3 linked regions of the Macaca mulatta genome follow. The protein of the gene in region 3 interacts with the protein of the main gene of each other region in a biochemical or structural test. Links are inferred from orthologs where the notes say so. Each region holds a gene or a part of one and is shown on either strand. Other genes may lie near its edges. The genes, in order: HNRNPC, MAPT and SRPK2.

The links.
Region 1: of the proteins of SRPK2 (region 3) and HNRNPC, one has a biochemical effect on the other in vitro, tested with the Homo sapiens proteins (2 studies listed by BioGRID and IntAct). The link is inferred for Macaca mulatta from reciprocal best matches to the Homo sapiens genes SRPK2 and HNRNPC.
Region 2: of the proteins of SRPK2 (region 3) and MAPT, one has a biochemical effect on the other in vitro, tested with the Homo sapiens proteins (2 studies listed by BioGRID, with this or other methods). The link is inferred for Macaca mulatta from reciprocal best matches to the Homo sapiens genes SRPK2 and MAPT.

The regions. Positions count from the first base shown.
Region 1 is NC_133412.1:94,117,284-94,121,032, forward strand, and holds the start of HNRNPC (heterogeneous nuclear ribonucleoproteins C1/C2), read right to left. Parts: upstream 2,254-3,749; 5' UTR 2,082-2,253; intron 1,453-2,081; exon of another isoform or gene 1,407-1,452; intron 1-1,406. UniProt on the Homo sapiens protein: Binds pre-mRNA and nucleates the assembly of 40S hnRNP particles. Interacts with poly-U tracts in the 3'-UTR or 5'-UTR of mRNA and modulates the stability and the level of translation of bound mRNA molecules. Single HNRNPC tetramers bind 230-240 nucleotides.
Region 2 is NC_133421.1:70,919,338-70,922,986, reverse strand, and holds part of MAPT (microtubule-associated protein tau), read right to left. Parts: intron 3,544-3,649; coding exon 3,431-3,543; intron 1-3,430. UniProt on the Homo sapiens protein: Promotes microtubule assembly and stability, and might be involved in the establishment and maintenance of neuronal polarity.
Region 3 is NC_133408.1:144,729,431-144,733,079, reverse strand, and holds part of SRPK2 (SRSF protein kinase 2), read left to right. Parts: intron 1-626; coding exon 627-792; intron 793-1,985; coding exon 1,986-2,011; intron 2,012-3,649. UniProt on the Homo sapiens protein: Serine/arginine-rich protein-specific kinase which specifically phosphorylates its substrates at serine residues located in regions rich in arginine/serine dipeptides, known as RS domains and is involved in the phosphorylation of SR splicing factors and the regulation of splicing.

The sequences.
Region 1 (3,749 bases), on a different chromosome or scaffold from region 3:
AGTTAAAAAAAAAAAAGTCTAAGTCCTCTTATTTAAGCAAGGAGGATTAAAATCTATTTCTCCTCCTAGGCAAACTTACTCCCTATTCAACACCTCACATTCAACACTTAATATTAAGTTTTAATAATTTGCCCCTTAGTCTTTAAAATTAGAGCAACTAGCTATTTGAGTTTATTCTTTGTGTCGCACTGCCATTCCATCCAAAACAAGGTCGAATGCCATGTCAAATCCTCTAAGAGATTTAATTACAAACGTAAGCTGTTTAAATTCTCCACAGAAGGAACATCAACTACCAAGTATTCCCAAGAGTGGCACACGAATGGGGGGAAAAAAAGGTCAGAAAACCTGCAACCTGGCCATCCTTCAACTTTTCCCCCTAGCCAATACGCTAGCCAATACGAAAATGTTACTAAATGCCTATCCAGTTGAGAACACACCTGGAATTGTGATATAAATGCCGTGGCAAACAGTTCTTGATATTAAAGAATTTTTGGTACGCTGATATACATACTGATCTGATATACATACTGATCGGAAGGAACCCGTATTTCTAACACCTCAAAGGCAAAGAAAAGTGCCTGTCAATCAATTTCAGCTATTATCAACTGTTCTTAAATACTAACTTCTGACATTTCTCATTGCCAACATTTTTACTACATGATTTCCCCATTAATCTATTTTTGCCTTTACCTCATTTCTAACAGTTTAGCACGATGATAAACTTTAGTTTTAAGTTCCTGTAATAATATATTTAAACTTAAAGGGGTCGCGATGTTTTTGACCCTTATTTTACTTCCTATCAAATAGGTTGCCTTACAGATAAATTTCTTACCCGGCAGAATTGGTTTAAACTGTGCTTAACAGCTTTAGTTTTTGTGAAATTAACAGATTGTAAAAAATAACCAAATCTCATGTGAGGATTTAAAAAACCGATTTCCCAGATAAGTGAACGTGACACTAAAGATCTGTAACTTTAACTTACAAGTTTTTTATCAAATTTCAGCACCGAGCAAATAACAGCACTGTTAATATTTGCTTAATAAAATGTAGCTGTGAATTTTTGCCCAAGTTTAGGTGGACGGGAAAATTAACATCAGAATAACCCGAAAGTCAAATTTTGTCATCTTACACTTAGGAAGTTACGTTAACAACAAATTCTCAAGTCTCGTAGTATTTTTCTTAAGCGCAATTTGGGAATTTCCAGTTACCTCGTGGTTTCCGTCATCAGGTTCTTGCAAAGATTCAAATATTGTACTTTTAGAACCCGGTATTCCATTAACCAGGTAAAAACCACTCGACTGACCTCGTGGTCAAATTCCTTAGTAGTTCTGCTACTGACTTAATTATGACCCTAGCAATCAACACTTTGCCTCAGTTTCTGTCTGAGAAAGAGAGTTAATACCTACCTCAAGCAAAGTTCCACTAACTTATATATTTCAAGTGTTTTGTAACCTGCAGATGAAAAGTCAGCTGTAATTATTAATATAGTTATACACAATATTTCCTTTTACAAACGTAAGTGAAAATAACTACTTCGAGCTCCATTATTTGCTCATAGAGAGGAATAAAATAAAAAGTTATCAGTAAAATGCTAAATCTTTTGTTAAACCTTTCTCATAGGCCACGCGGCACGATCCAGGATTTAAAGGCTCGCGATACATCTACTTGGTAACCTTCCCCCTCCCCCTCCCCCAATTTTTACATGTAAGAAGAACCGAGGTAATAGAAGGCATCGGCGCTATGTTAACTTCGACTATATTAATGAACATCGCGATCTTCATTTTCAGGATCCCGGAGTCCTCGCGGTCGTAGAAAATGAAAGGAAAGCAGCCGTTAACACAGGAAGAGCGAAAAAAGGGCATTTTCCCTGGCGATCGTGGCCCAGAGGACACCAGGTTAAACCTACGCAGAGGCTGAGGCCTGTAAAACCGCCTCCCGCTTCAGACCTAATCCCCCAAAACAAACAGAATAAATGAGGGCCCGGTTAGTTAGGGGGAAGGGTTCCCTCATATTCTCTCCCACACCCCCTCTAGCTTCCCAAAAAACCCAGCGCCTTCCCTGCGTCCGCCCTCTCCACTTACCAGGAGGGGGGAGGGAGAAGAGATTCGATTCTGAGTCTCCTACTCCCGGATTCGGCGTGAAGAAACCGACTGCAGGTCGAGGTCGGCAGCGCGGCCACAACCGCTCAGTCTTCGTCTCTTCACAAAATGGCCCCCGAGTCTCCTCTGCCGCCGAGGCGAAGGCCTAGTCCCCGCCCCATCCCTAAGAATCTTCCTATTGGCTGTGTGTTTTTTCGCTCCCGCTCCTAATTAGACAGTTCAACCGCTTCTCACAATGATATCCAGTCACAATTGGCAGTGGGTTAGACTAAGCAGAAGAATTTCCACATGCGTGAGAGAAACTAGTTTGTAACTGGTTAATTTTCCTGTCATTTATCGTCTGGGGAATGTTTATTGGCTATTGCACCGGACGACCCTCTGGGTGGAAACTCGCCTTTGTATCGCGCACCGTCTCACATCCGGGTATCTGGAAGGCCTGATTGGCGGCCGCGGTGTCCTATCGCTGCTCCTTAGAGTGCCTAGTAAAAGGTTCGCTCAGACCTCGGATTTCCGGCGGCGCGGGGGCGGGGAAGGGCTTGAGGGGCGTTGTTAGGTGACGGGCGCAAAGGACTTGCCCTAGCCCCGGGCCTAGGAGAAAAAAAGCGCGAAATGAAGCCTCCGGCGTGCAATATGAATAAAGAAAGAACTTTACTTAAAATGAGGAGGGAGCAGCGGTGACTAGGCCGTGTTAAAGTGTGTAGAAAACTAACCAGCCCTGCCGTTTTTCCAACCCGAGAGCCTTTCTCAGGTCCAGATTCGAATGTCAGCTACCTCGTAGACATCTCTGCTTCTCAGCCTATTAAACCCTTCTTCAGACAACACATATTCCATCCAAACCAACTGACTTCCTTATTCCTCTCCAATATGAAAAGTAAATGAAGTGCAAAATCCCGGCCTCTGGCCCAAGTCATCTCACTAATATCTTAAGTGCCAGTAAAATTGGCCCATCCCTCCGAATCTGCTCCCTTAATTTCCCTCCTCTTAAAATGGCTTGTCTCCTACGTACCCCCGTCACCTGCCAGTCCTTCTGGTTACATTATAGGAACTGCGCACACAGTGGATTAGCATCAGCTCTACTAAGGGAGCCATTTCTTTTTTTTTTTTTTTTCTTTTTTCTTTTCTTTTCTTTTTTTTTTTTGAGGCAGAGTCACTGTCGCCCAGGCTGGAGTGCAACTGCCTCCAGTTGAGGTTGATTGGCGGCCGCGGTGTCCTATCGCTGCTCCTTTTTTTTTTTTTTTTTTTTTTTTTTTTTGAGACGGAGTCTCGCTCTGTCACCCAGGCTGGAGTGCTGTGGCCGGATCTCAGCTCACTGCAAGCTCCGCCTCCCGGGTTCCCGCCATTCTCCTGCCTCAGCCTCCCGAGTAGCCGGGACTACAGGCGCCCGCCACCTCGCCCGGCTAGTTTTTTTTTTGTATTTTTTAGTAGAGACGGGGTTTCACCGTGTTAGCCAGGATGGTCTCGATCTCCTGACCTCGTGATCCGCCCGTCTCGGCCTCCCAAAGTGCTGGGATTACAGGCTTGAGCCACCGCGCCCGGCATATCGCTGCTCCTTAAGGCGCCTAGTAAAAGGTTCGCCCAGACTTCGGATTTCCGGCAGCCTAAGGAAATCCTGAGTGACGACCTCCAGCGAGGTTGGCTCACTGCAACCTC
Region 2 (3,649 bases), on a different chromosome or scaffold from region 3:
ATTGGCCGGGCTGGTGTCGAACTCCTGATTTCAGGTGATCTGCCTGCCTTGGCCTCCCAAAGTGCTGGGGTTACAGGCGTGAGCCACCATGCCTGGCCTGTTACTGTATTTTCTTGAAAGACCATTTAATACAAGCTTTGATAAAAATATTTATGTTAATGTTTTTTGAAGTGTTTTTTAAGAGAAAGTTGACATTCCTGGGAATGTCCAAAAATCCCCAAACTGAAAGGAACCCAGGAGGCTGGTGGTGTGCCCCACTGCTTGTTAGCAATTTTTCTCAACACACGGAAAACGGGACTAACGCTGCGGGGATCCCTGGGACCAGGATGATGTTTTCTGAGTAGGGGCAGGGCCCTGCCCACCTTCCTGAGCCATCACATGGACAAGTTGGAAACAGAAGGAGCCAAGAAGCTGAGACTCAGCATGGCTCTAACTCAGGTTCTTAGAGGACTGCAACGCACCAGGAACCTTCCAGAACATTGTTTTTTTTGGGGGGGGGGGGTCTCACAACCACCCTGGGACGTAGGTACAGCATTTCCATTTCATCTTGCTGAAGGAGAAACTGAGGCTGAGAGGATTTGCGGATCTTGACTCTCCGAGCAGAGTCAAGCCCAGAGCTCTTCCTAACACAGAGAAGCTTCCAGAGACTGCAGCGGGCCTCCCTTCACCCAGGAAATCGCCAATGCCCATGCCCCTATCCCGACCCACTCAGTCAGACTGTGGGGACGGGGCCAGGCCCAGGTATCTTTAAAGCGCCCCAAGGCTGGGAGGCCCTGCCTTAGACCAGGGGCGGCCTGGGTGGTGGAAACAGCAGAGAAGCTGACTGCTTCCTCAGATAACTGGGCCCGGCCCCCACATCCCTTGAGGCGGGCAGCCTCCTGGTCCCCCGCTGTTTTCTCACTTTGGATAGTGACCCAGGCACTGAAAAGTATCCCTGTGTCCTGCATGGCACAACCTGAGAGCTCTCGGCCAGCTACTATGGACCAGTGCCCTCGCCAGCCTCAGGGCCTGTCTGGAGGTGAGGTCTGCCCCAGGCCACAGTTTACAGCATCTGCGGCAAACACTTCTCACAAAACTACATGGTTAGACATTTATCACAAACACAAGATGAGGGTGCCCATCTGTTCAGAACCAGATGCAGTGGCAAGAGGGGAGGGCGGAGACTGACCAGGGCAGGGGTCTCTCAGCTGCCACCTGAGTGGCCTGGTGGAGAGACAGCCTGGTTGCCACTTCCACCCGACTGGGCCACCTCGAGAAGCAAACTTCCTCACGCCGAGCTGGGTCTCAGATCCCACACCCTTTCTGGGACACCCCGATACGGTTTGGCTGTGACCCCACCCAAATCTCATCTTGAATTATAGTTCCCACAATTCCTACACGTTGTGGGAGGGACCCGATGGGAGAGGATTGAATCGTAGGGGCGGGTTTTCCCTGCCCCTATGTTCTCATGATAGTGCTGTTCTCATGATAGTAAGTCTCCCGAGATCTGATGGCTTTATAAAGGGGAGTTCCCCTGCACAAGCTCTCTTCTCTTGTCTGCCACCATGTGAAACAAGCCTTTCACCTTCCGCCATGATTGTGAGGCCTCCCCAGCCACGTGGAACTGTAACTCCATCAGACCTCTTTCTTTTGTAAATTGCCCAGTATCCGATAGGTCTTCATCGGCAGCATGAAAACAGACTAATACAATCCTTTTCCCTCTACCACGCCCCAGTCAGCTCCTGGGAGACCCTGAAGGTTGGAAAGTGAGCCACTCCCAGAACTTCAGGCTGGGTGTGGGCAGGAAACCCCAGAGGGTGCTTGGCTGCGCTTCTGCAGAAGAGAAGCAGCAGCTACCAGACCGCATCCTGTGCCAGCCCTAGACAGATCTCGCTTAGCGCCACACACACCCTCACTGCACAGACACCCACAGCAAGACCTGGAGACTAGAAACTGCTGGGGACACCAAGGCCCCAGGAGCCTCGTGTGGACACTTCCACAACAGGCAGGCAGAGGCTTTCCTGAAATCAGGATTTCAGCATCATTGTTTTGCTCTAAGTGCCTAGTAACCCATTTAGAAAATTAGATTATGTTCCCATGTGTTCTTGGTGCGCCACAGGTGACTGGGGATGTCCACTTCCTTTTTTAGTTGTCTGCAAACATCAGGGCCTAGGACAGTGGTTCTCATTTTTTTTTTTTTTTTTTTTGAGATGGAGTCTCACTCTGTTCCCCAGACTGGAGTGCAGTGGCATGATCTTGGCTCACTACAACCTCTGCCACCTGGGTTAAAGCGATTCTCATGCCTCAGCCTCCCAAGTAGCTGGGATTACAGGCATGCACCACCACACCCAGCTAACTTTTGTATTTTTAGTAGAGATCATCTCTACTAAACCATCTGCCCACCTTGGCCTCCCAAGGTGCTGGGATTACAGGCATGAGCCACCGCACCCAGCTAGTTCTCACTTTTGACTGCACTAAAGAATCACCTGGGAGCTTTAAAAACTGCAGCCACTTAGGCCAAGCACTGTGGCTCACACCTGTAATCCCAGCACCTTGGGAGGCTGAGGTGGGCATATTGCTTGACCTCAGGAGTTCAAGACCAGCCTGGGCAACATGGCAAAACCTCGTCTCCACAGGAAATACAAAATATTTAGCCGGGCATAGTGGCAGGTACCTGTAGTTCCAGCTACTTGGGAGGCTGAGGTGGGAGGATCACCTGACCCAGGGAGGTAGAGGCTGCAGTGAGCTGAGATCATGCTAATGCACTCCAGCCTGGATGACAGAGGGAGAATGATACGGGCTGGCTGTGTCCCCACCCAAATCTCATCTTGAATTGTAGTTCCCATAATTCCATGTATCATGGGAGGGACCCAGTGGGAGGTAACTGAATCATGGGGGCGGGTCTTTCCCATGCCGTTCTCATGATAGTGAATAAGTCTCATGAGGTCTGATGGTTTTATAAATGGGAGTTGCCCTGCACACGCTCTCTTGCCTGCTGCCATGTAAGACATGCCTTTGCTTCTCCTTTGCTTTCCACCATGATTTTGAGGCCTCCCCAGCCATGTGGAACTGTGAGTCCATTAAACCTCTTTCCTTTATAAATTACGCAGTCTTGGGTATGTCTTTATTAGCAGTGTGAGAACAGACTAATACAAAGACCCTGCCTCAAATACTTAAAAATAAATAAAAACAAAAACTCCAGCAACTGAGTTGCACCTAAGACCGATCAGTCAGCCTCTCCAGTTGGAGCCCAGCTGTGAAATGTGCTAAAGCTCCTGGTGAAGGTGATTGAGACAGGCAGTCGAGACCCACTGGATGCTGCTGAGGGCCCACATCCAGCCAGTCAACACAGAAGCCTCTGTTTTCCTCCTCTGGGAACTGGACCAGTCTTTGTCCACTTGACTTGATTAATGCCCATACCCAAGTGCAGCATCCAACCCGCCCCCTTTACCTTTTTATTTCCTCCGCCAGGGACATGGGTGATATTGTCCAGGGACCCGATCTTCGACTGCACTCTGTCCTTGAAGTCCAGCTTCTCAGATTTTACTTCCACCTGGCCACCTCCTAGAACACAACACACACAAGAGCATCTTGCCATCATCTTCCGCAGTTCCGTGGACTTAGCACACATTACATGAGGTCTGTGGTCTACAGGGCAAAGTGCCAGGGG
Region 3 (3,649 bases):
TAGTTGACGCTTGAACAGCACAAGGGTTAGAGGTACTGACCAACCCCCTCCAATGGAGTTGAAAATCCGGATCTGGCTTCTGACTTGACTACTGGCATACTGTTGATCAAAATCCTTACTGATGACATGACCAGTTGATTAACGTGTTATATAGCATATTCTTACAATAAAGTAAGCTAGAGAAAAGAAAATGTTAAGACAATCATAAGGAAGATAAAATATACTTACTATTCATTAAGTAGATAGATCATATTCAGTAGATCATCATAAAGGTCTTCATCCTCATCATCTTCGCGTTGAGTAGGCTGAGGGGTTGGTCTTGCTGTCTCAGGTGGCAGAAAAAATATGGGTATAAGTGAACCCATGTTGTTCAAGGTTCAACTGTATGTAGATGCATTTGCTTCCATGAGCATAAATAATCTCTGAAATTATACATATTTGTTGCTTATAGAAAGGAGAGCTGGATTCCTATGCAGGTAGTCATGGGAGGGAGATTTTTACTAAATATCCTTTTGTGTTTATCAAACTTTGTACCTTGTCATCGTATTACATGTTTTTCAAATAAATAAAAGTTATATAATGAAGTATTAATAGCTTATCTTCTCTCTTGATTTTACTATATCCAGGTCCTTCAAGGGTTAGATTATCTACACAGTAAGTGCAAGATCATTCATACTGACATAAAGCCAGAAAACATCTTGATGTGTGTGGATGATGCCTATGTGAGAAGAATGGCAGCTGAGGCCACTGAGTGGCAGAAAGCAGGTGCTCCTCCTCCTTCAGGGTCTGCAGGTGAGGGAGCTGAGCTAGCTTCATTTCAGTTTGGGGGCGTTGTGAGCTTGCAAAGTTGCAGTTGTTGAAGGTATCTGAATCAAATGTTACATATAAGGAACTTTTTGGAAAAGTTTAATTGCTGGAAATAACTGCACCCTTTTCTTGAAATGGAAAATACCCCAGCTACATTATATTTTAATGTTAAAATTATTTACTTTTGTCCCCCTTTAAAAGGCCATTTAAATTTGTAGTTGCTGCTTCATCTATATTTGAACATTTTTTTCTGTTGCCCACTTCTCTGCAGAGGAGAACATAGTAACAGCTTTCCTGTAGCTGACCTTTAGTCATCAGAATATTTTTCTAGCTTCAGTTTTGTTACAGTAATTCCTGTTGTCCATTTAGCATAGCTATGTCAATCTGAGTTTTATCAACAGATTTGGAGTTAGTTTAGAAAAGGCCTGATGGTGGGGGAAGAAGACCAAGTGACCTGAGTATTGGGATATTTTTACTTCTGGGCTGGGGTCGGGGTGGTGGTGCAGTGAAGTGTGGACTGTGTTTCTCACTCTTCGACACCGTGGTCTGTGCCTTTGTGTGTTGTCATGCAAGCATGTATACTAAAGGGCTGAGGCTCCTGGGACTGCCTGGGGCTCTCTTCACATCTCCTTTACTGCCATCAGGGTGTTGTTTAGATCATGGACCCAGCCTGTCAAACTTTTGGCCCTGGTGTAGGGGTTTAATCATGTGATTCCCAGACTGTTTGCTGCATACCAACTGCAATATTTGATTTAAATTGTAGAAAGCTTGCAAAATAGATTTCAAATATAGATGTACATCTAATCTAAATTGTTCATTTCATTATATTTTAAACAAATTTGGTTTAATGACTGTGATATGTATGAATTCTTTCCCATTTTCTTATCTGTTGGTGCTTTGGGCTTGACTGTTTTTGAGATGTATTAGTATTTCATTTTAGATAAATAAGAGAAATGGCTCAGTGTGAGCAACTTCTGCTATGCCTTCAAGAGTCACTCATTTGTTTCAGTGCATAAACTTTCTCTAGATTCCTGTGATTAAGAAGCTCTGATTAATAGTTTTTGAAGTTGGATAGCCATTAAAAGACAATAATTATTTCACTTTGCAATTCGAATGACCTACGTGAAGGTATGTGTCTGTTTTCTGCTAAATGTCGATTTTGTTTCATTTTGTTTTAGTGAGTACGGCTCCACAGCAGAAACCTGTAAGTACTTACACATACTACTTTATATGCACCATGTCAAAAGAGACCATTTATTATTGAGTTGTTCAAATTATTAAAAAGTTGTGTATTTAAAGGGTGAACACATTTATAAAAGTTGTGTATCCTCAAATAGGTAAGACTTACTGTCTTGTTAATTTTTTTTTGTTTTTTTTTTTTTTTTTGATACTGAGTTTTGCTCTGCCACTCAGGCTGGAGTGCAGTGGTGCCATCTTGGCTCACTGCAACCTCCCCCTCCCGGGTTCAAACAATTCTTGTGCCTCAGCCTCCCAAGTAGCTGCGATTACAGTCACCCGCCACCACACCCAGCTAATTTTTGTATTTTTAGTAGAGATGGGGTTTCACCGTGTTGGCCAGACTGTTCTCGAACTCCTGACTTCAAGTGATCTGCCCACCTCGGCCTCCCAAAGTTCTGGGATTACAGGCGTGAGCTACCACATCCAGCCTGTCTTGTTAATTTTTCGTATCTTTGCAGAGTTGGGATAGTTAGAGCCTTTCAAAGATTGTCTTCTTTATGCATTTTCTGGACTGTCGTTGGCCAAGTTCAGTGAAATGTGAGGTGATGCAGTTGAAGTATTTTTATTTCAAAATCACTTTACATTATTTCTGATTGGCTGCTAAGTTACCTGTTTTTCTGAAGCTGTTGTTCTAATTTTTTTCCATCCAGATATTAAATAAGAAAGAGACTGATCTATTTTGTGGTCCCGTCAAAACTGTATGTCCTTGTTAGATACTGGGTGTGGTGGCTCATGCCTGTAATCCCAGCACTTTGGGAGGCCGAGGCCACTGAATCACTTGAGGTCAGGAATTCGAGACCAGCCTGGCCTACATGGTGAAACCCCATCTCTACCAAAAATGCAAAGACTAGCCGAGTGTGCTGGTGGACACCAGTAATCCTAGCTACTGAGGAGGCTGAGGCAGAAGAATCGCTTGAGCCCAGGAGGTGGAGGTTGCAGTGAGCCGAGATCCATGCCACTGCACTCCAGTCTGGGCGACAGAGCGAGACTCCGTGTCAATAATAATAATATCATCATCATCATCAGCTGGGTGTGATGGCGTGCACCTGTACTCCTAGCTACCTGAGGGGGTGAGACATGAGAATCACTTGAACTCGGGAAGTGGAGGTTGCAGTGAGCTGAGATCACACCACTGCACTCCAGCCTGGGCAACAGAACGAGACTCAGTCTCAAAGAAAAAATAAACCAAAAACAAAACAACAGCAAAACACTATGTTTACTGAGACAGCCCTTGATTTGGAATGTAAGTTCTGGAACAAGAGGAAGCTGTAATAATTACGCTTCCTGGCCTGCTGAGACGCCCGGATTGTTTCCCATAGTTTTTCCCTGGCTTGAGCTGCCTGAGTTCACTGATTGTTTGAAAGGTTGGAGTCTTTCATTGCCAGTGCTTGGCAAGTCGGGTGGCCATGATGGGAGGCAGACAAAAGCTGTGGCTTTTTCTTTTTTCCCTTTGCTGAATAGGCTTATCTCTTAGAATTCATGTTGTCTTGGCTGCTAAGAGCTTCATATGTGAGCCCCAGACACACAGTGACATACACCTGCTCAGGCACCTGCTTCATTTTTGGCATTGAGGAGGTGGGATGTTGTTACTTTGTATATAGAC